4 linked regions of the Caenorhabditis elegans genome follow. The protein of the gene in region 4 interacts with the protein of the main gene of each other region in a pairwise test. Each region holds a gene or a part of one and is shown on either strand. Other genes may lie near its edges. The genes, in order: rbmx-2, erm-1, idpp-12 and cir-1.

Region 1 (4,254 bases), on a different chromosome or scaffold from region 4:
AGAATTGTCCTTGTTCATAGTTTTCAATTCATGAAATTTAACTTAAACAAAATAGAAAAAATGGGATAGCACAAGATTGATCAAGCAAATTTGTTGATGACAAATGAAAAATTTTTAAAAGTAGCGCGCGCACAATGCTGTTTGGAATCACCCAACGAGACCTTAACAGAAATTTGGTGAATGTTCCTTTAAATTTGCCAATGTTACGGTATACCGTATCAATTAAAGTTTATTTTTTTTGAGTTTTTAATTGAAAGCTTATAAAAGCACGATATCAGTTCTGACGAATAAGTGAATGAAATGAAAATACCGTGAAATATTCAATAGTTCTCCTGCCCAAATACATGTTAGACATTGAGGAAGGCTGTATCAAAATCGAACGCAAGTTAATTAAACTATAACGTTCATAACTTTTGAATTTCATGAGTTGTAATTACATGAAATGAGCAAACGCTCTGAGTTTAATATTGTAGTTTCCAGAAATTAATTACAGTTGGAAGTCTAATACAGTTTTTATTTTGGTAACTTTTATTTGCCAAATTTACAGAACAATTCTTTATATTTATACAATGTTTGAGAATCCACCGAGGAAAGTGAGAGTAACGAAGTAGAATATAGGGAAAATCGAAAAAGAATAAGTTAGGAGATGATGACCAGACGATTGTTACCACAATGACATCCCATTCATATCCTCGCCGTTGAAAATGCGGAAGTAAAAAATGATGACGCTAAAGTTGATTGAATTGGCGATGAAGATTAGGAAGCACGCGGACATCGCTATCTGAAAAAAATTAACATGTTGTACAAGGTTTAGCGATAATTGAAATAAATAGACGAACCACAATTACTTGACAAGAAATTAATAGTGAAGTGAATGATTTAGAACAGAGACTGGCTCCAGCTTCCACTGTCGTCATCACGATGCAAGTAGAAATATGCAATAATTGTACCGAACATAATCACAGATCCTGTATTGACGAGGAAGCATGCACTGTTTGCTATCTGAATTGGACATTTATTCATGCGTTACATAAACTTATTCACATCATTCCACATTTACCCAAAATTTGATCTTAAATTATACTTACCGTTCCTGCATGTGCCAGCACTATCGGAAGAGCAAAGGCGGAGATGACAATTCCAGTGGTGATGAAGAGAGCTAATTCAATGCATGCATTTGTTCCAGTCATATCTTCTTGGAAGCGTCTGGCGATGAGAAGTGGTACCGGCGAAAGAACGTAGAATGTGATAACAAACATTGGGGTCCATGTTCTAAAAAATGAATATTAGCATTTTCAAGACGTTTAAAACTAACCCGTACCTAGGCAGGGCACATCCAAGAACGAGGAAAGTGAGGCCAACAACTCCGGCGAACGCCAGTGCAGCAACAGCTAAAATTGTATTTTTCATAGAGCAGCAATCGAAACACTGTATATGAATATGACAGCACATTATGAATCTTTCAGGGAATAAAAATTATCAGAAGAATGTTCAATTCAAATAAGCGTGGATTTAAGAAAATATAAAACTTTAATTTCACGTTAAAAACATAAATACCTCGTACTCCTCCCATTATGAACTCGTGTCTTGAAAACTTATTTGATGAATAAATCCAGGTTCCCTGAAACAAGTTATATGACCGAAAAGATAATTATTACACAAAAACAAAGAGAAAAATCGATGCAAGCAACTGAAGACAGAAATGGGGAAAGCGCGAGATGTGTGCATTCTGACGTCGCTGTGTTTGCAGACTTTCGACCGTACCCCTTTTCAATTTACGAAATCTAGTTTTCTCTTTAATTTCCATTATTCCGTGTTGCGATCTTGTTTTCAGTTATATTTCACTGATTAATTAACATTTTGCAGTAAAACATGAATCCGATTACGAATATCAAAAATCAGAACCGTATGAACGAGCGGGAGCTCAGTTTGGGTTACGCTGGAGATCTCAAAAAATCGTGGCATCAAACTTACAAAGATTCTGCCTGGATTTACATTGGTGGTTTGTCATACGCACTTTCAGAAGGGGATGTTATTGCCGTTTTCTCTCAGTGAGTTTTGCAAAAAATTGTTTCTCAATTTATAAAGTTCTTTTCAGATATGGCGAAGTTATGAATATCAATTTAATTCGAGATAAGGACACAGGAAAGTCGAAAGGATTTGCTTTTTTGTGTTACAAAGATCAAAGAAGTACGATTTTGGCAGTGGACAACTTCAATGGAATCAGCGTAAGTTTTTAATTCATTTAAAAAAAATGCAAAGATGCTGATAGAACATTAATATAAAGCCTTTTTCAAATTTTTCAAATAAAATCGATCGTTTAAACGACAACAAAAATAGTATTTTGTTTTCAGTTACACAAACGAATGATTCGTGTAGATCATGTGGAAGAATATAAAGTCCCGAAATACAAAGAAGATGCCGATGATGAAACGAAACGATTATGGGAAGAAGGATGTGCTCCAAAACCAGTAATGAGAGAAGCAGCACCTATGGAAGTTCAAGAACAGAGAATCAAGAAAGCCAAAGAAGTATTATTAGATATTGGAGATGTTGATGAAGAGTTGCTGAAAAAAATCAAAAAAGATAAGAAGAAAGCAAAAAAGGAGAAGAAGCGGGAAAAGAAGAGAGCAAAGAAAATTCGAAAATTGGAGAAGAAAGCTGCAAGAGATCCAGATGGGGATTGGAATAATAAAGCCAAACTTATCGATAAAGTTGTGGCTGAAGATGATTTGTATGGTGAGAACAAGCACTTTGATTTTGGAAAGAAGAAAGAAGTTGAAGAAGTTAAACATAATCCAAGACCAGATTTTGAGAAAGCTGATTGGAGAGATATTGAAATCTGGAAAGTCATCCGAGAACGAGAGAAGGCAGAGAAAGCAGCAAGAGGAGAAACATCAGAAGCGTGGGGTCCAGAGGATCATTATGTGTCAAAAAGATATCAAGGAAGATGAATATTTGTTTTTTCTCACTTTAATAAATTTTTATTTGTTTTTTTAAATCGTCAACTGCCATGGCATTGCAATTAGAACCAACTTTTGTGGAAAATTAGTTTTGTCGAAAATACACACACCCTTGCAAAAAAACTCACAGTCTAGTTGGAAAGTACAGTATACCCATTACAATCCAAACTATCTTATTATTTCAATCACACTTCCCCATGTCTTCCGAAGCTCTCAAAAAGTACAAAATCTCAGTATAAAGTGATATTCTAGTCGTAAAATGGTACTCGTGATCGAAACTCTGAAGCTTCTGTATCCGAGAGTATTTCGAATTTTACTTCCTTATGCACACACCACGTTTCAATTAAATTGCTCAAAAACGTCTCCGAACACCACCAATAAATGCAACAAATTTTGTTGTGATGGGAACATCGAAATCCACAAGGAACATTGAATCTGCCAACAACCATGGAAACGAATTAACTAATTTTTTTTTAATTTTCAAAACAGAAACTTGAAATTTTTGAATACATCAACTACAGTACGCCGTAGTAACATACTCGAGTACGGTAGCTATGAGATTTCGGTCGCTTCAAGACCGGGTTCCGAATTATTCGAATTTCCAAAAAATCGCAGAGACTAGCAACTTGAATATAAATCTTTATTAATTCAAAAGTAGTCAAATTACATGAAAATACGAGTTAAAACAAATTTATTTCAAAGACATTAGTGCTCAGACTCCCTTGACAACTGGCATGTGATGGAAACGACTTGGATGCGAATGCATTTTGTGCCAACACGGCTCACAGTAGTACTGGAAGCACTCAAGAGATGGACAGAAGTATGGAGCATGTTGACGATGATAACGACCCGAACATTCCTCGCAAGATTGGTTGTGAAAGAAGTATGGCTTGATCTCCACCTGAACTTAATTTAAATGAGATTCTCAACAATATTAATGAATATTCAATACCCTCTTGTGAATATCCTCATGATCCAGAACAATATAACGATCAGTGATTGCTTGAACGTACGCATCGTAGTCAGAGAAAGCAACACGTCCGGATCCACGTGGATATTTAAATTTATTGTCGATATCAATGCCAACACACACAACATGCCCATAAGTTTGCTCGAAGAAATGAGCCAACTCGACTGCTTTCAACGGTCTCGGAACACCACCAATAAATGCCACAAGTTTTGTGTTGATGGGAACATTGAAATCCATAAGGAACTCAGCATCTGCCAACAACCATGGACGAATCTGCACACGAATTGAATCAGTCGAACTTTCCAAAGTGATGAAAAGTCC
Region 2 (8,632 bases), 370 kb from region 4:
ATAATACTCTGTCAATGTGTGAGAGAGAAAGGTGTCTCACTGACACATACAAACGACACATTCAAACTTATTTACATAGTACTGTATTCATATTTTATATATATTCAAATGCAGTTGAGAATAGAGAATAAACCTTTCATTTCTTCTTGTTGTACTCGGTTCGTAGTTTCAGATCATTTTGATCGAACCGCTTTTTTCTGTGAACAAGTATTTTCCAATAGGTGTTTTTTTGCTGTTTTCATTCTCCTTACGGAAGTTTTTATATTGAATCTTTACTTTCCTTATTTTTCCAGTTAATTTTTCAAAATTATCAAAAATTTAGCGAATTGTCTCGAACTTCTTGGAATTTTTTCCGTACTGTTCTAATACGGTATCCAGCTGAAAATTTAAGCCAGTTTGTGTGCTTTATTGGCTTTTTCCATCAAATTTTTTGTTGTCATGTTATCTCAACATTTTTCAAAATTAGTGTTAAAATATCGAAAAATTACTTGATTCGTCTGAAAATAAACTTCAATTTAGCTAAAACATTTAAGAAAGCTTTTAAAAATGGCCTGAAAATTGCCAGTATCCGATTATCGAATTATCAGATTTTTTGTCTAACAATTTGCAACTTTCCCACCGATTTTGAGCATTTCTTCAAATGTTTCAGCTAAAAATATGTTTCATTTCCAGATAAATCGAGTGATTTTCGATATTTTGACACTAATTTTTAGTGAAAAACGTTGGAACAACATAGCCCAATAATTTTGTAGAATTGCCGGAAATAATAGCCCTGTACCTGTAAATCAAAATCAATATTCCCACCTGTGACACATATTTTTCTGAATAATTTTTTGATTCATGAAACTTTTTCTTTAAAATAATTAAAGCATTAAAAAAAACTCAAACTCGCCAAAACTCCCAAGAAACTGTCCAGGCACCCGAGAATCGCGCCAACGCCCTGCTGGCGCGATTCTCGTGCAGTGGCAAATCGCAGAACGCGCCAAAAACGGATCCGAACGGGTTTGAATCAGACGATGACTCATTTTTTATTGTTTTTCGAGTTTTATTGATTTTTTTTAATCGCCAAATGTATAAATCCCCCTAAAATATACACAATTTTCCATGTGTCACTTTGAATTTTCGGATAAATGATTGAAAAATTAGATTTCTCTATTCAAAATTTAAAATTCATAACCTTGAACTCATTTGTTTCGTTTTCTTCGCTCCGTTTTCTGATTTCTCATGAATTTTTGAAATCTCTGTTCATTCGAATTCTATTTTCACATCTTATTTTACTTTCTTGCAGAAAAAAGTGACGAAGATTTTCGGTGGAAAAGTTTCGTGAATTCTCACCGCTCACCCCAATCCATCTTCGACTCGGACATCAAAAAGAGCTAAAATAATGTCGAAAAAAGCGGTAAGTTTGAAAAATGTAGCTTCAAATAATTTAAAACTTTTACGGCCAAATAAAAAAAAACACTGTTTAAATTTGCGATTTTCTTATTTCTTTCGGAAAAAATGCCGCCATTAATTAAAAACAAATGGAAAAAATTTGAAACTGTGAAATGTTGAATATTTCGGAAATTATGTTCTGTTCAGCACGACTTCTGCCGATTTTTTTAAAAAATAAGAATCTATCGATCTAAAAATATACTCTGTATTTTATTTTTCACTTATAAGACTATAAAGAGGCATATTTCTGCAAAATGGACTCATTTTTGAGGTTTTGTTGAAATTTTCGAAAATAGAGGGTTTCAATACCATTTTGCATAAATGCGCCTCTTTTTAAACATATAAGTGGGAAATAAAATACAAAACATATATTTTTTACAAAATTAATTTAAAAAATTTTAGAAAACAATTCAGATTTTTACGCTTACGAAGTAGAGCCGCGAACAATTTTGAACTCGAAATAAACTCAAAATTGATGATATTTGAAATATCATTTCATTCTTTTTTTTTCTGCCGAAACTTCTATGAAGAAATGCGCACATGTATGTGTGCAAACCGACAAATAGGCGGAGCCTGTACAAAAACGGGCGGTCTATAGTTCTTCTCACTCCGTTTTTGTGCTGTATACAGGGAGAGAGAGTGACAACTCATATCATTTAGTTTTAGATAAGAATTTTAAATTCTCAAGTTTCACTCTTTTTTTTATTTTGAATTTCTGATTTTCATGCAAGATTTCTTATATCATTTTACTGAAAAATTTTAAGCTAACCTCTTCATATCAATTGGTCCAGCAGTTCAAACTTGTGGAACACAAAATAGAAAAATGGTTGCGGCCGGCGATGTAAATTGTTAATTGAAAAAATTTTTTTTAGAAATTTAAGAAAAAATATAACGAAAAATCGATTTTATTTTTGCCTAATCCAACTATTTCTTGTTTCAGATCAATGTGCGTGTCACCTCGATGGACTCGGAGCTCGAGTTCGCTATTCAGTCGAGCACCACAGGAAAGCAACTTTTTGATCAGGTTAGATGATTTTGTTTTATTATATTTAAAAAGTACTTTTTTTATTAAATTGGAGAATGGATAAATTTTAATAATTCAAAAAAAAAATCAGAATTTTCTGAAACATTAAATTTTCACTAACCATTAGAAATTTTAAATCAAAACGATTTAAATTTGAAAAAAATAATCCAAAATTTCCAGCTCTTGAAATTGAGTTTCGAATTTTCCAGCAATATTAATTCCTTCATTTTAATTTTTGCAGGTTGTCAAAACCATTGGTCTCCGCGAGATCTGGTATTTTGGACTTCAGTACACTGACAACAAGGGATTCCCAACATGGCTGAAATTGAACAAGAAAGTCTTGTCTCAGGACGTTAAGAAGGACCCGACTCTTGTTTTCAAATTCCGCGCCAAATTCTATCCGGAAGATGTGGCCGAGGAGATTATCCAGGATGTCACTATGGTATGTTTGACACCTTTTTTTAAATATTTAATTTTTTGGAAAAAAAAAACTGTAAATTTTCCATTACCTCTGGCCAATATTTGATTTTTAGTTGTAATTCTCACTTTTCGCTTTTCTGACATTCTCTGGCGACTCTCTTGATTTCCTGTGCTATTTCTGATTTGTAACTGATAAGTAGAGAATGCCCGTGCCATTTATGCATGTAATGCAATGTTGGCAAGCAATAGGAAATAACTTTGGAGTATATTCAAGAATAGAAAAAAAGGGGAAAATTTTGGTAAGGAATACATTTCTGTGGTTTTAGAGTACCTTCTTACAAGCTGGCCTGCTTAAAAAGACCCCAAAACGACCAAATTTCAAAATGAAATTTCTCAAAAAATGCCCGAAAATGAATTAAAGCAGTGAAAATTCTGAAAAAAATCCGATATTTTTTCTGTTAAAAAAATCCGATATTTTTGCTAAAATTAGAATAAAGTTTTTTATGCCAGTGATAATTCAATAAAATGGCATTCCGATTTAGGAAAATTTGGCTCTTTTTTGAGAATTTTGGCTCGCTATAAAGAATTTTTGAATTTTTTAAACCAGTTTTATTTGAGCAAAAAAAACTCTTCTGCTCAAAAATTTCCACGGCTCATGTGCTCACAAGGTCCTCAATAAACTGCCTAAAAACAAAATATTTTGATGGTGACAAGTGTAAACATGGGCATTTTCTCCCTTCCGTTTCAAAAAAAGGTTCTCCCATTGAGAGTGTGGTTTCCGATTACCTCCGAGCCACTTTTTTGTCTCACACAAAAAGAGATTGTTTAATGGTTTGTAAACATCGATGGGAAGACACTGTGTGTGCGAGACTCTTTTTTTGAGAGGAGAAATGAGCATCCTATTAGAACCTCCGACTGCGAACAGGAAATCTCTGATCTGGGTGGTCTGTTTTGTTTGAATAGGATCACAAGATCAGTTGAAGATTTCAGTAGAATAGCTATTTAGTACCTATATGCAAATTGATTTAGTACCTATATGCAAATTTAGATCAGTTGTTAAAATTAATGTAAAAATTTCTTTTTTTTTTAAATATAGAAAAATACTTTTATTTCTATGAAAATAACATTTTTCAGTTGAAACATTTGAGAAAATGCACAAAAATGGTCTGAAAGTTTCTAATTCACAAAAAAACCTTTTTTGAGCACTTTCTCAAATGATTCAAAAATATAAATATCACTTCCGGTTAAGTAAATTGATTTTTTCTCTTTTTTTTAGATTTCCAATAATATTTCGCATTTGAATTTGAATAGATAGACTGACTTAAATTCTGTTCCGATGACTCATATCAATGGAAACAATGAAAAAACTCTCAGTTTGTTGCTGTCTCTTTGCTCTTTTTATATTCATGTTCATAACTGACATAAAGAGGAAGAGGAGAATGGCATGTGTGAATAATCAAAAAATGATTCAAAACGATAAATATGAGGGGAAGAGAATATAAATTGAACTTTTTGCAAAATTTGCAGAATTTTTTGTTTGGAAGAGGGAACAATTGGGTTTCAGAATCATTAGTTGAAAATGGAGTATGGTTTTTTAAAATGTCAGAAAACAATCTCAATGTACAGAACATACAGTTAAAAAATTATGAAGTTTTTTAACTGAAATTAAGCCTTAATTAAATGAAAATATTTTCAGCGTTTGTTCTATCTCCAAGTGAAAGATGGAATTCTGTCAGATGAGATTTATTGTCCACCGGAAACCTCTGTTCTTCTTGCCTCTTACGCGATGCAAGCTAAATATGGAGACTATGTTCCAGAGACACATGTCGCCGGATGTCTTACTGCTGATCGGTGAGTTTTTCTTGAAATTAGCTTTTAAAAAAATTATTAATAACTATTAAAAAATATCTTTGCGGTTCAAAATTCCAATCAAGATTACTAAAATAAGAAAAATAATAATTTTCTGCGATAATTCATTTTTAATTATGTAGTGAAATTTCACAGTATCACAGTACTCATACAATTCATAATTATCACATGAAAATGAGATTAGAATAAAGAAGGGAAAGTTCCAGATCTAGATGATCAATAAAAAAGTATATAATAAGAAGTAGTTAAAAAAAAGTAAACTTTTTATATTAAATGCCAAAAATAATTAATTATTTCATTCCAGTCTGCTTCCTCAACGCGTTCTCGGACAATTCAAATTGAACAGTGAGGAATGGGAACGCCGTATTATGACATGGTGGGCAGATCATCGTGCAACTACACGTGAACAAGCTATGCTTGAATATTTGAAAATTGCACAAGATCTCGAGATGTATGGAGTCAATGTACTGTTTCTCATTTTTCTGTCGAGTTTTAAAAAAAGCTAATTTCAGTACTTTGAAATCCGCAACAAAAAGGGAACTGATCTCTATCTTGGTGTCGATGCTCTTGGATTGAATATTTACGATAAAGCTGATCGTCTTTCGCCGAAAGTCGGATTCCCATGGTCGGAGATTCGTAATATATCATTCAACGACAAGAAATTTGTCATCAAACCAATTGATAAGAAGGCTCATGTAAGTGATTACTGTCACACACAGTTTGTCGTGGCATCAAGCTTCTATTTGTTGGCAAAATTTCTGCGGAAAAAACGGAAAAATTGTGTGATAGTAGTTGGAAGTGGTGGTGATAAGAAGCAATCGATGGAACATTGAATTTTGATTTAAAATTTTTTTGTTGGTTTTTCTTATTTTTGGGGTGTGAAAATATCACAATCATTGACCAGATGCGGAATGTTGCGATTTTGAGGCAAAAGTATGGTGCCCGGTCTCGGTCTCGACACGACCGAATAAATTTATTTACCAAAATGGTGTGCACCTTTAAAAAGTAGAGTAGCTCCAGGCCTTTCTGATTTCCAACTTCGTTAGATTTTTCTAGTTTATTAATTAATAAAAATTAGTTTCACTAACAAAAGTAAAATAAAAGGTTTTTACAATAAAAATATTTAGAAAAAATCTATGAAAATTTCAAATCAGCTCAACGGTAACTACTGTACTTTTTAAATGCGCACATCCTTTTTCATTTAAATTTATTCGATCGCCTCGATATCGAGTAATGTGTTTTTGTATCAAAAATCGCAAATTTCGAGATGGATGGAACATTTTGTGGAAATTGAGTTTGTTGTAATTTTTCTGAACATTTTTTCCCCGATTTTTTGATTTTAGAAAAATCGAAAAAAAATTCTTATTTTCGCTGAAAAAAAAATCGAAAAAATGTTTTTCATTATTCGTCTTCATTTTTATCATTAATTTTCAGGACTTTGTCTTCTACGCTCCACGACTCCGTATCAACAAACGTATTCTTGCTTTGTGTATGGGAAATCACGAGCTTTACATGCGTAGAAGAAAGCCAGATACCATTGAAGTTCAACAAATGAAGCAACAAGCCAGAGAGGATCGTGCTCTTAAGATTGCCGAGCAGGAGAAGCTCACCAGAGTAAGTTGCGGAAATTTTTGAAACATGTTTTTACAAATAATTTCTAAAAAAACTTTCACTCAAATCTGTTTTGATCGTACAGGAGATGTCTGCTCGCGAAGAAGCCGAACAGCGTCAACGTGACGCCGAAAAGCGTATGGCTCAAATGCAGGAAGATATGGAGAGAGCTCGTCTTGAATTGGCTGAAGCACACAATACAATTCACTCATTGGAGGCTCAACTCAAGCAATTGCAATTGGCTAAACAAGCATTGGAACAGAAGGAATACGAACTTCGTGAGCTCACTGCTCAACTTCAATCCGAAAAAGCAATGAGTGATGGTGAGAGACGTCATTTGAGAGACCAAGTTGATGCTCGTGAACGTGAAGTTTTTTCGATGAGAGAAGAAGTCGAGAGACAGACTACTGTTACAAGACAACTTCAGACACAGGTATTTTTTATTTTTGAAACTAAAATAGAAACAAAAAATTCTCTTTAAAAAAATTATTTTAAATACCGTATTAACAATTATCGAGCAGTAATTTTCAGTCTGAAATTACTGTTTTAAAATTTTAAAATGAAAAAAAGTATGCAGTAATTCCTGAAATTAGTTGATTACTGTAACAAAAAAGCTTAATTTAAAAAAAAAATTTGCAACAATAAAAGAGATACAAAAAGAAAAAACTAAAAAAAATTGTGAAAGAATAAAAAATCCGATCTTTAAAAGCGAGATTTTTTAATTGTACGCAGTGATGTTGCAACAAAAATTTCGGCCAAAAAACAAACAAATTTTGTTTAAAATTTCTCCAAAAAACCAACAAAAAAAAACAAAAATGTTCATTTTTCGTCATACCAACTAAAACATAAAATTTTTGATAAACATTTTTTTAAATGTTTTCTTGTCCGAAAAAACCAAAAAAAACGGAATCCCTGATTGTAACTCTGGATTTATTTTATTTCAAAATTATTTTTTCTTAAATTCAGATTCACTCGCAACAACACACTCAACACTACTCAAACAGTCATCACGTTTCCAATGGACACGCTCACGATGAGACTGCCACTGATGATGAAGATAATGGAGCAACTGGTATGCCTTTTTTATTTATTTAAAATAATTGGGAGAGATTATGAGAAAAAATATCATCTTCAAATTTTATCTTCCAGAACTCACAAATGACGCTGATCAGAATGTGCCACAACACGAGTTGGAGCGTGTCACAGCAGCCGAGAAGAACATTCAGATCAAGAATAAGCTGGATATGTTGACTCGCGAGCTTGACAGTGTTAAAGATCAGAACGCTGTCACTGACTACGACGTTCTGCATATGGAGGTTCGTATTTTAAAAAAACTCGTTTTAATGGATGGTTTTAGAGAATTTAGCATTCAAAATTTACAGTAATTTTCTAGAACCTGCATTTTTTTCATAAATTCAAGTTTTAAAAAATATTTCCGGACTGCGATCAAAATACAATTTTTTAAAAATTAAATTTGGAAAAAAACAGAAGAACGCAAAAATCTTTAAAAAATATCGAGTTCCGGATTATTTTAAAATAAAAAAAATCATTAAAAATCATTAAAAAGCCATTAAAAACAAATTTTGCTTAAAAATAATTTTATGATATTAAAATTGTTTGAAGTACAGAAATTGAGTTTTTTCGGTGTTTTCTGTTTGCAGACAAACCGAAAACATTTCTGAAAACATTCCAAACTCGGTATTTCCTTTACGGAAACAAGCAACATAAATTTTACTTATTTTTGAACAAGTTTGACCCTAAATTTTTTAGATTTTTTGAGCGAAACCGAAATATCGAAAAACCGAAAAACCTGCCGGCCCGATTCCAAATTTTTAAATTTTCAGAACAAAAAGGCCGGACGCGACAAGTACAAGACTCTCCGTCAAATCCGTGGAGGAAACACAAAACGAAGAATCGATCAATACGAAAATATGTAATTATTTGTTCTATCGTATTTCCTTTTATTTTTTTAAACAATATTCTCAATTGTCTCCCACCAACTTCCAAATGCTCATCATCTTGGCTCTTTTCTCCCTTTCTCGTTTTTTTTATAGGACAACAATTATTATTATTATTAATTTGAAAATTTATTGGTTTGTTCCGATTCACTTCCTTGTTCACCCCATCAGTGCCTTTTACAATATTATCCGAAATTTGTTTTCTTCCAAAAAATGCTCGGTTTCTCTATTCCCCTCTTCTTGTATTCGTCATATCCAATTTTTCAAGTAACTTGTTAAATCCGCCGCCAAAAAACCCCGAATTTCTCGCGCAAAG
Region 3 (4,002 bases), on a different chromosome or scaffold from region 4:
GTGAGACTATTCAAGCCTGAAAAGTTTTCACACTGTTTTTTTAAGGAATTTCGCTGTATTTGGTTGCAACGTCCTCACGTGATTTCAGACTGTCTCAATACAATTTGATCTACAAAAAATGCGGGAATATTTTTACAGAACAATTGTGACGTCAGTCATGCAAAATCAGATGAGATGCATGCGTCTCAACTTCCGCATTTTTTGAAGATCAAATCGAAATAAGACCTTCTGACTCCACGTGCTTCCTGTCCATCTTTTACAGATACCTGACAAGACTTTGGCATTAATGGAAGAGCTTACTCAGCAGTTAATTTGTCAAGATTTTTGGCAGGAAGTTGCTCTCCTAAAGAGCGAGTTAATAACGTTTCATTCAGCCACCTTCATTGCTGAAATTGCAAAGTTTTTCTGAAAAGTGTGACGTCAAATGCGGTCTGGAAGCTTAGAAGCCTAGACGCGTTGGGTTTCAGTATCACTTTGTCAGTTTTTCAGACAATGTTTAGATACAACTAGTTGCTAATTGGAACTGAACTTGAATAAGTATGTGTAGCGCTACACAAAGTTTGTGTGATTCGCGGCAAAAAAATGCTTGCGGAACTAGAGCAGCGCTCCGCCTCCAGCTGATAAACATACCGACCTGTCTCCCCCAGGCGGCATCGTATAAAAAGCGAATACTTTTACATTAGAACCATCAGCTCTTACATTTATCCGTTTCACCATGCAATCCGCCTGCCTCATCGCTCTTCTTGCTCTCGTCGCCGGAGCGTCGGCTCAATGCTTCGAAGGTGGATGCGGAGGAGGACCAATCTTCCTTCCACCACCACCATGCTTCGGAGGAAACTGTGGTGGATGTTCGGGTAACAACTGTGGATGCAATGGAAACAACTGTGGACCACAAGTCACTGTTGTCCAGGTCCCAAATAACAATAACGGATGCTCATGCAGCCCATGCAATGGACCAATTTGTGCTCCAATGTGCAATAGCTGCCCACCACAGCCGATCTTCATTCAGCCATCTCAATGCTGCAATAATAACAGTTAGTATTCGTCGCAAGCATGGTTTTTCAAAAAGAGTTTGCTATTTTCAGACTTCTCCTGTTGCCCATTCCGTTTCCGTCGTCATAACTCTGCTGCTGCTGCCGCTTCAGATGAGATCACCGAAGAGCCAACCACAGCTGCTCCAGCTCAAGAATAGATCCCAACTTCTAAAAGTTAATTCCCAGTTTTTGTATATAAAGCAACCCATTTTGGTAGATTAATAAATATGAATTAGTCCAAGTATTCTAAAAATTGAAGCTCAATTCTTCTTTTTCAGAAATTTTATCACAAAACTGAAAGTTTAATGCATTTTAAATCTCGACCCTTAATGCATTTGGGCCGGTCCAATGCCAAGCTTTCAGATCCATAGCCAATTTGTATACGACTGAAAAAGATTATTCTGAAGCTTGAAATTCGTGAAGCCATGAAGTGTAGGCCCCTTAAACAGAACAATATTTTACAAGGTTTGGAAGTGGGAAATTCGTTTTATTTAAATTTTGCCTTAGTTTTTGGAAATTCAATATTCATGGATTTTCATAGAAAAATAACTTCCTGAAGTGAGACTATTCAAGCCTGAAAAGTTTTCACACTGTTTTTTTAAGGAATTTCGCTGTATTTGGTTGCAACGTCCTCACGTGATTTCAGACTGTCTCAATACAATTTGATCTACAAAAAATGCGGGAATATTTTTACAGAACAATTGTGACGTCAGTCATGCAAAATCAGATGAGATGCATGCGTCTCAACTTCCGCATTTTTTGAAGATCAAATCGAAATAAGACCTTCTGACTCCACGTGCTTCCTGTCCATCTTTTACAGATACCTGACAAGACTTTGGCATTAATGGAAGAGCTTACTCAGCAGTTAATTTGTCAAGATTTTTGGCAGGAAGTTGCTCTCCTAAAGAGCGAGTTAATAACGTTTCATTCAGCCACCTTCATTGCTGAAATTGCAAAGTTTTTCTGAAAAGTGTGACGTCAAATGCGGTCTGGAAGCTTAGAAGCCTAGACGCGTTGGGTTTCAGTATCACTTTGTCAGTTTTTCAGACAATGTTTAGATACAACTAGTTGCTAATTGGAACTGAACTTGAATAAGTATGTGTAGCGCTACACAAAGTTTGTGTGATTCGCGGCAAAAAAATGCTTGCGGAACTAGAGCAGCGCTCCGCCTCCAGCTGATAAACATACCGACCTGTCTCCCCCAGGCGGCATCGTATAAAAAGCGAATACTTTTACATTAGAACCATCAGCTCTTACATTTATCCGTTTCACCATGCAATCCGCCTGCCTCATCGCTCTTCTTGCTCTCATCGCCGGAGCGTCGGCTCAATGCTTCGGAGGTGGATGCGGAGGAGGACCAATCTTCCTTCCACCACCACCATGCTTCGGAGGAAACTGTGGTGGATGTTCGGGTAACAACTGTGGATGCAATGGAAATAACTGTGGACCACAAGTCACTGTAGTCCAGGTCCCGAATAACAATAACGGATGCTCGTGCAGCCCATGTAACGGACCAGTTTGTGCTCCAATGTGCAATAGCTGCCCACCACAGCCGATCTTCATTCAGCCATCTCAATGCTGCAATAATAACAGTTAGTATTCGTCGTAAGCATGGTTTTTCAAAAAGAGTTCGCTACTTTCAGACTTCTCGTGCTGCCCATTCCGTTTCCGTCGTCATAACTCTGCTGCCGCCGCTTCAGCTGAGAACACAGAAGAGGCCACCACCGCTGCTCCAACCCAAGAGTAAATCTCTACGATCGTCTGATTACTTGATCCAATTTTTGTATATACGAAACCTAGATTTATACGTAATAATAAACACGTTTGAATTTATATTTTATTTCTGAACAGTTAGGTGGTTCCTGTGGCATAACAGAAAGTTGGTAATGGAGAAACAAGACTAGACTTTTTCCACAATACTTCTTTTTCAAGCAAACGGTTCTTCGGACGTTGTAGTCAAACAGGAAGATGAGATCAGCGAAAAACCAGATTCAACATACAAACTTCGTTTGATCAGAGCACAAGCTTTGTAGGGGACAATTTAAAATGTCGCCCTAAAATTTATGCCTATAAGTTGCGTAGCAGGCACTACAGGCTGATCTACAAAAACCGCGGGAACTTTTTCCCCAGAAAAATGTGAAGTTTAAACATGCGAAATCAGTTGATAAGTCTGCGTCTAAATTCCCGCAATTTTCGTAGATCTACGTAGATCAAACCGAAATGGGATAGCCTGACACCACGTGCGGACGCACACTTTTTGTCACTTGGCCTAGAAAAAGCGAAACCTCGGCCAATCTGTCTACAGAACAGGTGCAACTCAGCAATACGCTCAATATTAAATGTCTTTCATCATTTTCTCAGCAAATTTTCATAAGTTTTCCAAATGGAGCGCACTTCTATCGGGTGGAAGTTTAAATATTTTTCTGAAATTTTATACACTTCAATTTCTGAGAGATTCTTGTTAATTTTACATGTGATCGGTGGGAGATATGAAATTTTGAAACATTTTCCAGTCGAGAAGCGTGAAGGCGTTTTCCGGGCGAAAATTGGGGAAGCGCTTGGAGAATAGTCGTTTCGCTCACGGGATTCTGGCCTTCCTCACTGAATTTTTCGCGCTCCATTGACAATTGCCCGCCGGAAAACGCGTGGAAAAGTGTCGTGTACTCCACACGGACAAATACATTTAGTTTTCAACTGAAATCGAGCCGCAACGCGCCGTAAAACTACCCCAGACAAGCCCGAGCCAAAATGGCCTAGTTCGGCAAACTCTTCCATTTCAATTTATGAGCGAAGCCAGAAATCCGTGTTCGCCTGATAGAAAATTTTTATAAAAATGATAAGAACTTCCCAAATTCCATTCAAAAAACTAGTCGTGGTATCAAGTTTACCCTATCATGGCAAATCTTTATGCATGATCAAAAAGAGCATCCAGTTTTGTTGCTCAAAAGTGTGCAAGGTCGGTCACAAA
Region 4 (5,147 bases):
TTCCGACTGGAGCAGAATGTGATGATATGAATCTTCTATTGAACAAGACTATTGAAGCCAATGATGGTTTATTTCAGCTATTTCAAATAAAAATGTTATACAATTTTATTTTTCAGGTGCATGGAAAGAGCGGCGATTCGAATTTCTGGTTGGTGAAACGTTTTTGCGCACGAGTCTAGCTGAATTCATCGAGGAATACGAAGTGGAAACGGTAAATTTCATTTAAAAAAAGTTTAGAGTTTTAATAAAACAAGCTCTGCAGGAAACAATCCTTAAAGTGGAATGCGTAATTGGAATTGAAGCTCCAAAACCACTTCATGATATCCAAGCGCCTGATTGGGTTTCTTCGGTACAAATCGCAAACGGCCAGTATGTTTTTTCCGCTTAATGTTTGGTAAAAGTCTCATTCTGAAATTTTCAGCATTTTCTCAACAACCTACGGAGGAGACATTGTAATTGTGGATCGTAAAGGAAAAGAGACAAAGTTGGCTGTTAATTCAGCAAATCGTCTTTTAAAGTGCATCTCAATCGTCAAAGCACCATCTAGTCAGTTTTAACACTAGTTGAAATTTAAAAAAACGATAATTTTTGTTTCAGAGAAAAATCAATTGGACGGTACAGAATTTGTGGTCGGCGGTGAAAATCAACTGCTGACTCTCTATGCAATTGAAAAAGGAGCACTTGTTGAGAAGGTTAGGTGTTCGAATTTCGGGGTTATCAGTTTTATCAATAAATTTTGTTTCGAAAATTCTTTTTTTTTATTTTGCAGTCATTACTTCATTCTTAATAAAAATTTTCCAGCTCATCCTTCGTGGTCATGAACGTGCCGTCGAATGTGTTTCAGTCAACTCGGATTCGACCCGTGCGATTTCTGGATCAGTCGACACAAATCTCAAAATTTGGAACTTGGATGCATCTGATGAAGCAACAACATATGAGAAAGAAGAAGAAGAAGAAAGTGCGAAGAAACGCCGAAAGAAAGAAACCAAAACTAAAGTTCCGATGGTTACGATTGGAGGGCATCGTGACAAAGTATCCGCAGTCGAATGGTGTCCATGGAATTCTGGACACGCATTTTCGTGCTCGTGGGATCATACTATTGTTGAATGGGATTTGGAATTAGGTTAGTTCTAATGATAAATATCCTATTTATATACAAAAAATAATTTCATTCAAGCTGGTGAAATTTCGCGGATCAAAGGACCCAAATCATTCACAAGCATTGATCTTCATCCGAAGAGTGATCTTCTCATCTCCAGTTGTACTGATGCTATTCCAAGACTTTATGATCCAAAAAATAGAGGTTTGTTTGTTAATATTTATTTAGTCTCTTGTATTTATAAAACATTTCAGATGGAAGTATGGTTAAACAATCATTCATTGGACATCAAAATGGATGGGTTGAAGCTGTCAAATGGAATCCGTTGGATACAAATCAATTTGTTAGTGTTTCCACCGACAAAACTGCGAAAATGTGGGATGTAAGGTAGGTCTTGTTTCAAAAATTAAAGAACCATTCAGTTTTTACTTTAATATTCGGTTTGTTTCAGATCCTCAAAGTCTTCATTGTTCGACATTCATGGACACGATGATCGTATTTTGTGTGCCACGTGGAATGAAGGACTAATTGCAACTGGATCCGCAGACTGCACAATCAAAATCTTTGAGACTGCTTGATTTGTTTTGTTTTTTGTTATTCTACAAATTCTTATATTGTTTTTTTTTCTATATACCGCGTTTTCTATTTGTTGATTTTGATTTTTTGTTGAACTTTTTATGAAGTTATCCACTTGAATTTATTTTCCATTACCTTCTGACAGTTTTGAACTGTGTTAAATATTTCAATTATTTTTCTTTCTTCAATTTTTCATTCAAGTATTTTCAGAATTTTTCAGTGAGAATCAAAACAAAAGCGTTGCAAAATGGGGAAGGGTTTTCAAAACTTCATGTCCAAAAAGGACTTCCATCCATCCGCTTTTCGGAATCTCAAAATGGTCTGGGAAGCACGACAGAAGAAGTCTTTGGAGGACAAACGACAAGAAGAACTTCGAGTTGCTTATGAGAAAGAGCAAGAAATTTTGAATAACAAGTATGTTGCATTCAATATCTTCTCACTAGATTATAAATATTTTTCAGAGCTCTTCTTGGAGACGAAAAGGCCAAAATGGGATTATCGTTCATGTATGATGCTCCAGCTGGAATGACAAAGAGAGAAGAACCGAAAGAAGAGCCGAAATTCGAATGGCAACGGAAATATCAAGCACCACGTGAAGATTGGGCTAAAGGAAATGAAGAGATCCAAGATCAACCATTCGGAATTCAAGTTAGAAATGTTCGATGCTGTAAATGCCACAAATGGGGTCATATAAATACGGATCGAGAATGTCCATTGTTCGGAAAATCTGGAAATTTTGAAGATGAAGGATGTAAGTTTCCGAAAAAAAATCGAATTAAATGTGTAAAATCAATTTTCAGATGCAAATAATCCATCAGACCTAATCAAAGATCTTCGTCGGAGACGACAGGAAGGCAAAGCAGGACCTTCAACATCGAAATCGTCTGCTGCTGCGGCGACAGGAGAAGATGACGATGAGGATGAGTGGATGGATCATCAGCAACTTGCGAGTGATATGCGTGAAGAACATGGAATCAAACTCAAAAGTTCTGTTTTGGCTGGAATGCAGACAGATCAACAGCTAACAAGAATGAAAAAAGAAATGACCGAAGAAGAAATGATGCTGGAGTTTTTCAATTCGATGACTGAAAAGGAAAAAAAGAAATTGCATAAGAAGCTGATGAGCGGTGCAGATTTGGAAGATGTAATGAAGAAGAAGAGTAAAAAAGAGAAGAAGAAGGAAAAGAAAGAGAAACGGAAGAATAAAGACAAGAAGAAAGATAAGAAGAAAAATAAGAAGAGCAAATCTCGTGAAACTGATGACGATTCTGATGGCAGCGATAGTGAGGATGATTGGAAAGGTATTTAAAGATGAGGTTTTTACATAATTAATTTGATCCTAAACACTTGTTCATTGATATCAAATATTAACGAAACGCTTAGAGTAGTTATTAGTTTCTCGATTTTTCAACCAGTTCATGTTTCAGAAAAATCATCGAAAAGGATCAAAAGAGAAGTGGAAAGTTCTCCGGAATACAGATCGAAGTATATCAAGCAGGAAGTTTTATCAGAAGACGAGAATTCCCATGGAAGAAAGGATTCGAGCCGAAAAAGAGCGCATAATGATTCAGAATCGTCAAACGAAGTAAGATCGTCAGAGAGGAAGAGATCTCGAAGAGATGATTCTCCGAACGCCAAAAGAAGTATCGGGTTGAAATCGCCGGAGAGGAGAAGCTCACGAGATCGGAAATCTTCACCCAAACAACGTCAGGATTCACCAGTGAGAAGACGGCGAAGTCCATCGTCGATTCGGAAGGAAAGTCAGCGTGTTCGTAAACATTCACCAGAACAAAAAAGAAATGGCCGTCATGATTCACGATCAGTGTCCCCTGTTAGAAGACGTCGTTCTCCGTCTCCTGACAATCGTCAGCTGGGTTCGAGAAAACAATACTCGCCACTGCGACGTCGCCAATCATCTCCGATGGTTGCATCACCAAGAAGACGTAGATCTCCATCACCAGAACGACAGCGCAAGAGACGTTCACCATCCGATTCCCCGCCAACAAGGCGTCTTTCTACGTCACCGATCCGACGTCGTAGAAGTCCATCGCCCAACAAGTTGCCTGTGAGAAGGCGTCGTCATGATTCCGGATCGCCTGATCGTGATGGATCTGAATCACCGAAAATGTGGAGAAAGAAGTCGCATAAATGAACGCTATTCAAATCAATTTTTAAAATTATTAAATGTGGTTTTCTTTTAAATTTTTTCCGTCATGTCTAATAAAGTATTTTCACACATTTTTGCTGTTTATAAATTTCTTGTATTTGGTGTTTTATAAATAATATTCTTAAGAATATTCTTCAATGGAAATGTTTTTATCTCTCATTGCGATACTTCTAAAATCCGCAATTGCGTCAACGCACGAGAATTGCGCCAATGAAGATTCTTAGCGCGGAATTCGTGCTTTGTATTTTATATAAATAAAATATATTTTAGTTTTCATTATTTCTTCCATTTTCAGCTTGTTTCATTGAAGTCTTGCCATTCACTATGGACACTAATTTCAAGGTAATTATTTGAAGCGTTAATTATTCAATTAATATTCCACCAAACCCATTTTAGTTGTCCAATTGCATTGGTACAGTGTATCGAGACGGTCAAGTGGCGTTCAGCAAAGATGGATACTCAGTGATTTCACCTATTGGCAACAAGCTATCAATTTTTGATCTCAGAAAGTAAAAAATAATTTTATATTCACATTTGATATATAATTTTTCAGCAATACTTCAAAAACATTGGATATTGACTGCAATTACAACATTAAAAGACTCTCTATTAGTCCATCGGGTTATCATCTTCTTGCTTCTGACGAGCGTGGGTTATAATGAAACCTATTCGAAGTCAATATTAATATTCTTCAGGTGGAGTTGTTCACTTTGTCCATTTGCTGTCCGAATTCAAAATATATACTTTTCGCAGCAACAAACCGATCGGATCACTTCAGTGGTCACCAGACGCAACGTAAGAAAAAAGCAAATAATTGCAGTTTCTAAACTCATATTTTCATTTCCAGCCGAGTTGCTATTTGCCGTGAAAACGACCTTCAGATCCATGAATTTGGCAAAAGCATCGAAAATAAAGTTTATAACCCGTTCAGTCTGTCAAGAACCTACAAATTGAGCAGTGATAGTCTCAAAACAATTGACTGGTCAGATGATGCAAAGTTAGTTTTTTTTTTGAAAATGAAACGTTTTTTTCCCAATACCCACTAAATAATTTCCAGTCTCCTCGTTTCTGGTGGTGAGGACAGAGTTGTTCGAGTTGTTGGTGCAAAAGATTTCAAAAATTTGTTCATTCACCCACTGGCTTCACACAAAGGATATATTGTAAATTGTCAATTCATGAAGAACTCTTACGATGTTAGTTTGATATATGATGTTTCCTTTATCAGTGGCTACTTTTCCAGATGATTACAGTATGTAAACGTGGACTTGCAAACGTTTGGACATGTAATCTGCGTCCAGGAGAGTT

Evidence for each region.
Region 1: the proteins of cir-1 (region 4) and rbmx-2 interact in a two-hybrid assay, tested with the Caenorhabditis elegans proteins (one large-scale study listed by BioGRID).
Region 2: the proteins of cir-1 (region 4) and erm-1 interact in a two-hybrid assay, tested with the Caenorhabditis elegans proteins (one large-scale study listed by BioGRID).
Region 3: the proteins of cir-1 (region 4) and idpp-12 interact in a two-hybrid assay, tested with the Caenorhabditis elegans proteins (one large-scale study listed by BioGRID).

The regions. Positions count from the first base shown.
Region 1 is NC_003280.10:6,194,554-6,198,807, reverse strand, and holds rbmx-2 (RRM domain-containing protein), read left to right. Parts: upstream 1-1,859; 5' UTR 1,860-1,872; coding exon 1,873-2,051; intron 2,052-2,098; coding exon 2,099-2,228; intron 2,229-2,354; coding exon 2,355-2,954; 3' UTR 2,955-2,997; downstream 2,998-4,254. Other genes in the region: szy-4 (Suppressor of ZYg-1), read right to left, coding at 1-18; C30B5.2 (Vacuolar protein sorting-associated protein 55 homolog), read right to left, coding at 880-1,002, 1,089-1,272, 1,316-1,391, 1,558-1,573; cpb-2 (Cytoplasmic polyadenylation element-binding protein 2), read right to left, coding at 3,676-3,864, 3,916-4,254.
Region 2 is NC_003279.8:5,284,261-5,292,892, reverse strand, and holds the start of erm-1 (Moesin/ezrin/radixin homolog 1), read left to right. Parts: upstream 1-2,198; 5' UTR 2,199-2,257; coding exon 2,258-2,275; intron 2,276-2,374; coding exon 2,375-2,458; intron 2,459-2,699; coding exon 2,700-2,900; intron 2,901-4,574; coding exon 4,575-4,729; intron 4,730-5,051; coding exon 5,052-5,211; intron 5,212-5,259; coding exon 5,260-5,442; intron 5,443-6,181; coding exon 6,182-6,361; intron 6,362-6,443; coding exon 6,444-6,791; intron 6,792-7,324; coding exon 7,325-7,430; intron 7,431-7,507; coding exon 7,508-7,674; intron 7,675-8,202; coding exon 8,203-8,295; 3' UTR 8,296-8,632.
Region 3 is NC_003282.8:3,301,701-3,305,702, forward strand, and holds idpp-12 (Intrinsically Disordered Protein, expressed in Pharynx), read left to right. Parts: upstream 1-2,289; 5' UTR 2,290-2,307; coding exon 2,308-2,626; intron 2,627-2,677; coding exon 2,678-2,781; 3' UTR 2,782-2,869; downstream 2,870-4,002. Other genes in the region: W08E12.4 (CC domain-containing protein), read left to right, coding at 716-1,034, 1,086-1,192.
Region 4 is NC_003279.8:5,652,596-5,657,742, reverse strand, and holds cir-1 (CBF1-interacting co-repressor CIR N-terminal domain-containing protein), read left to right. Parts: upstream 1-1,885; 5' UTR 1,886-1,922; coding exon 1,923-2,089; intron 2,090-2,136; coding exon 2,137-2,426; intron 2,427-2,475; coding exon 2,476-2,976; intron 2,977-3,102; coding exon 3,103-3,827; 3' UTR 3,828-3,915; downstream 3,916-5,147. Other genes in the region: wdr-12 (Ribosome biogenesis protein WDR12 homolog), read left to right, coding at 1-66, 117-211, 263-369, 422-546, 598-692, 802-1,123, 1,178-1,303, 1,354-1,486 and 1 more; F55F8.3 (Periodic tryptophan protein 2 homolog), read left to right, coding at 4,167-4,184, 4,239-4,351, 4,396-4,490, 4,538-4,637, 4,690-4,839, 4,900-5,035, 5,083-5,147.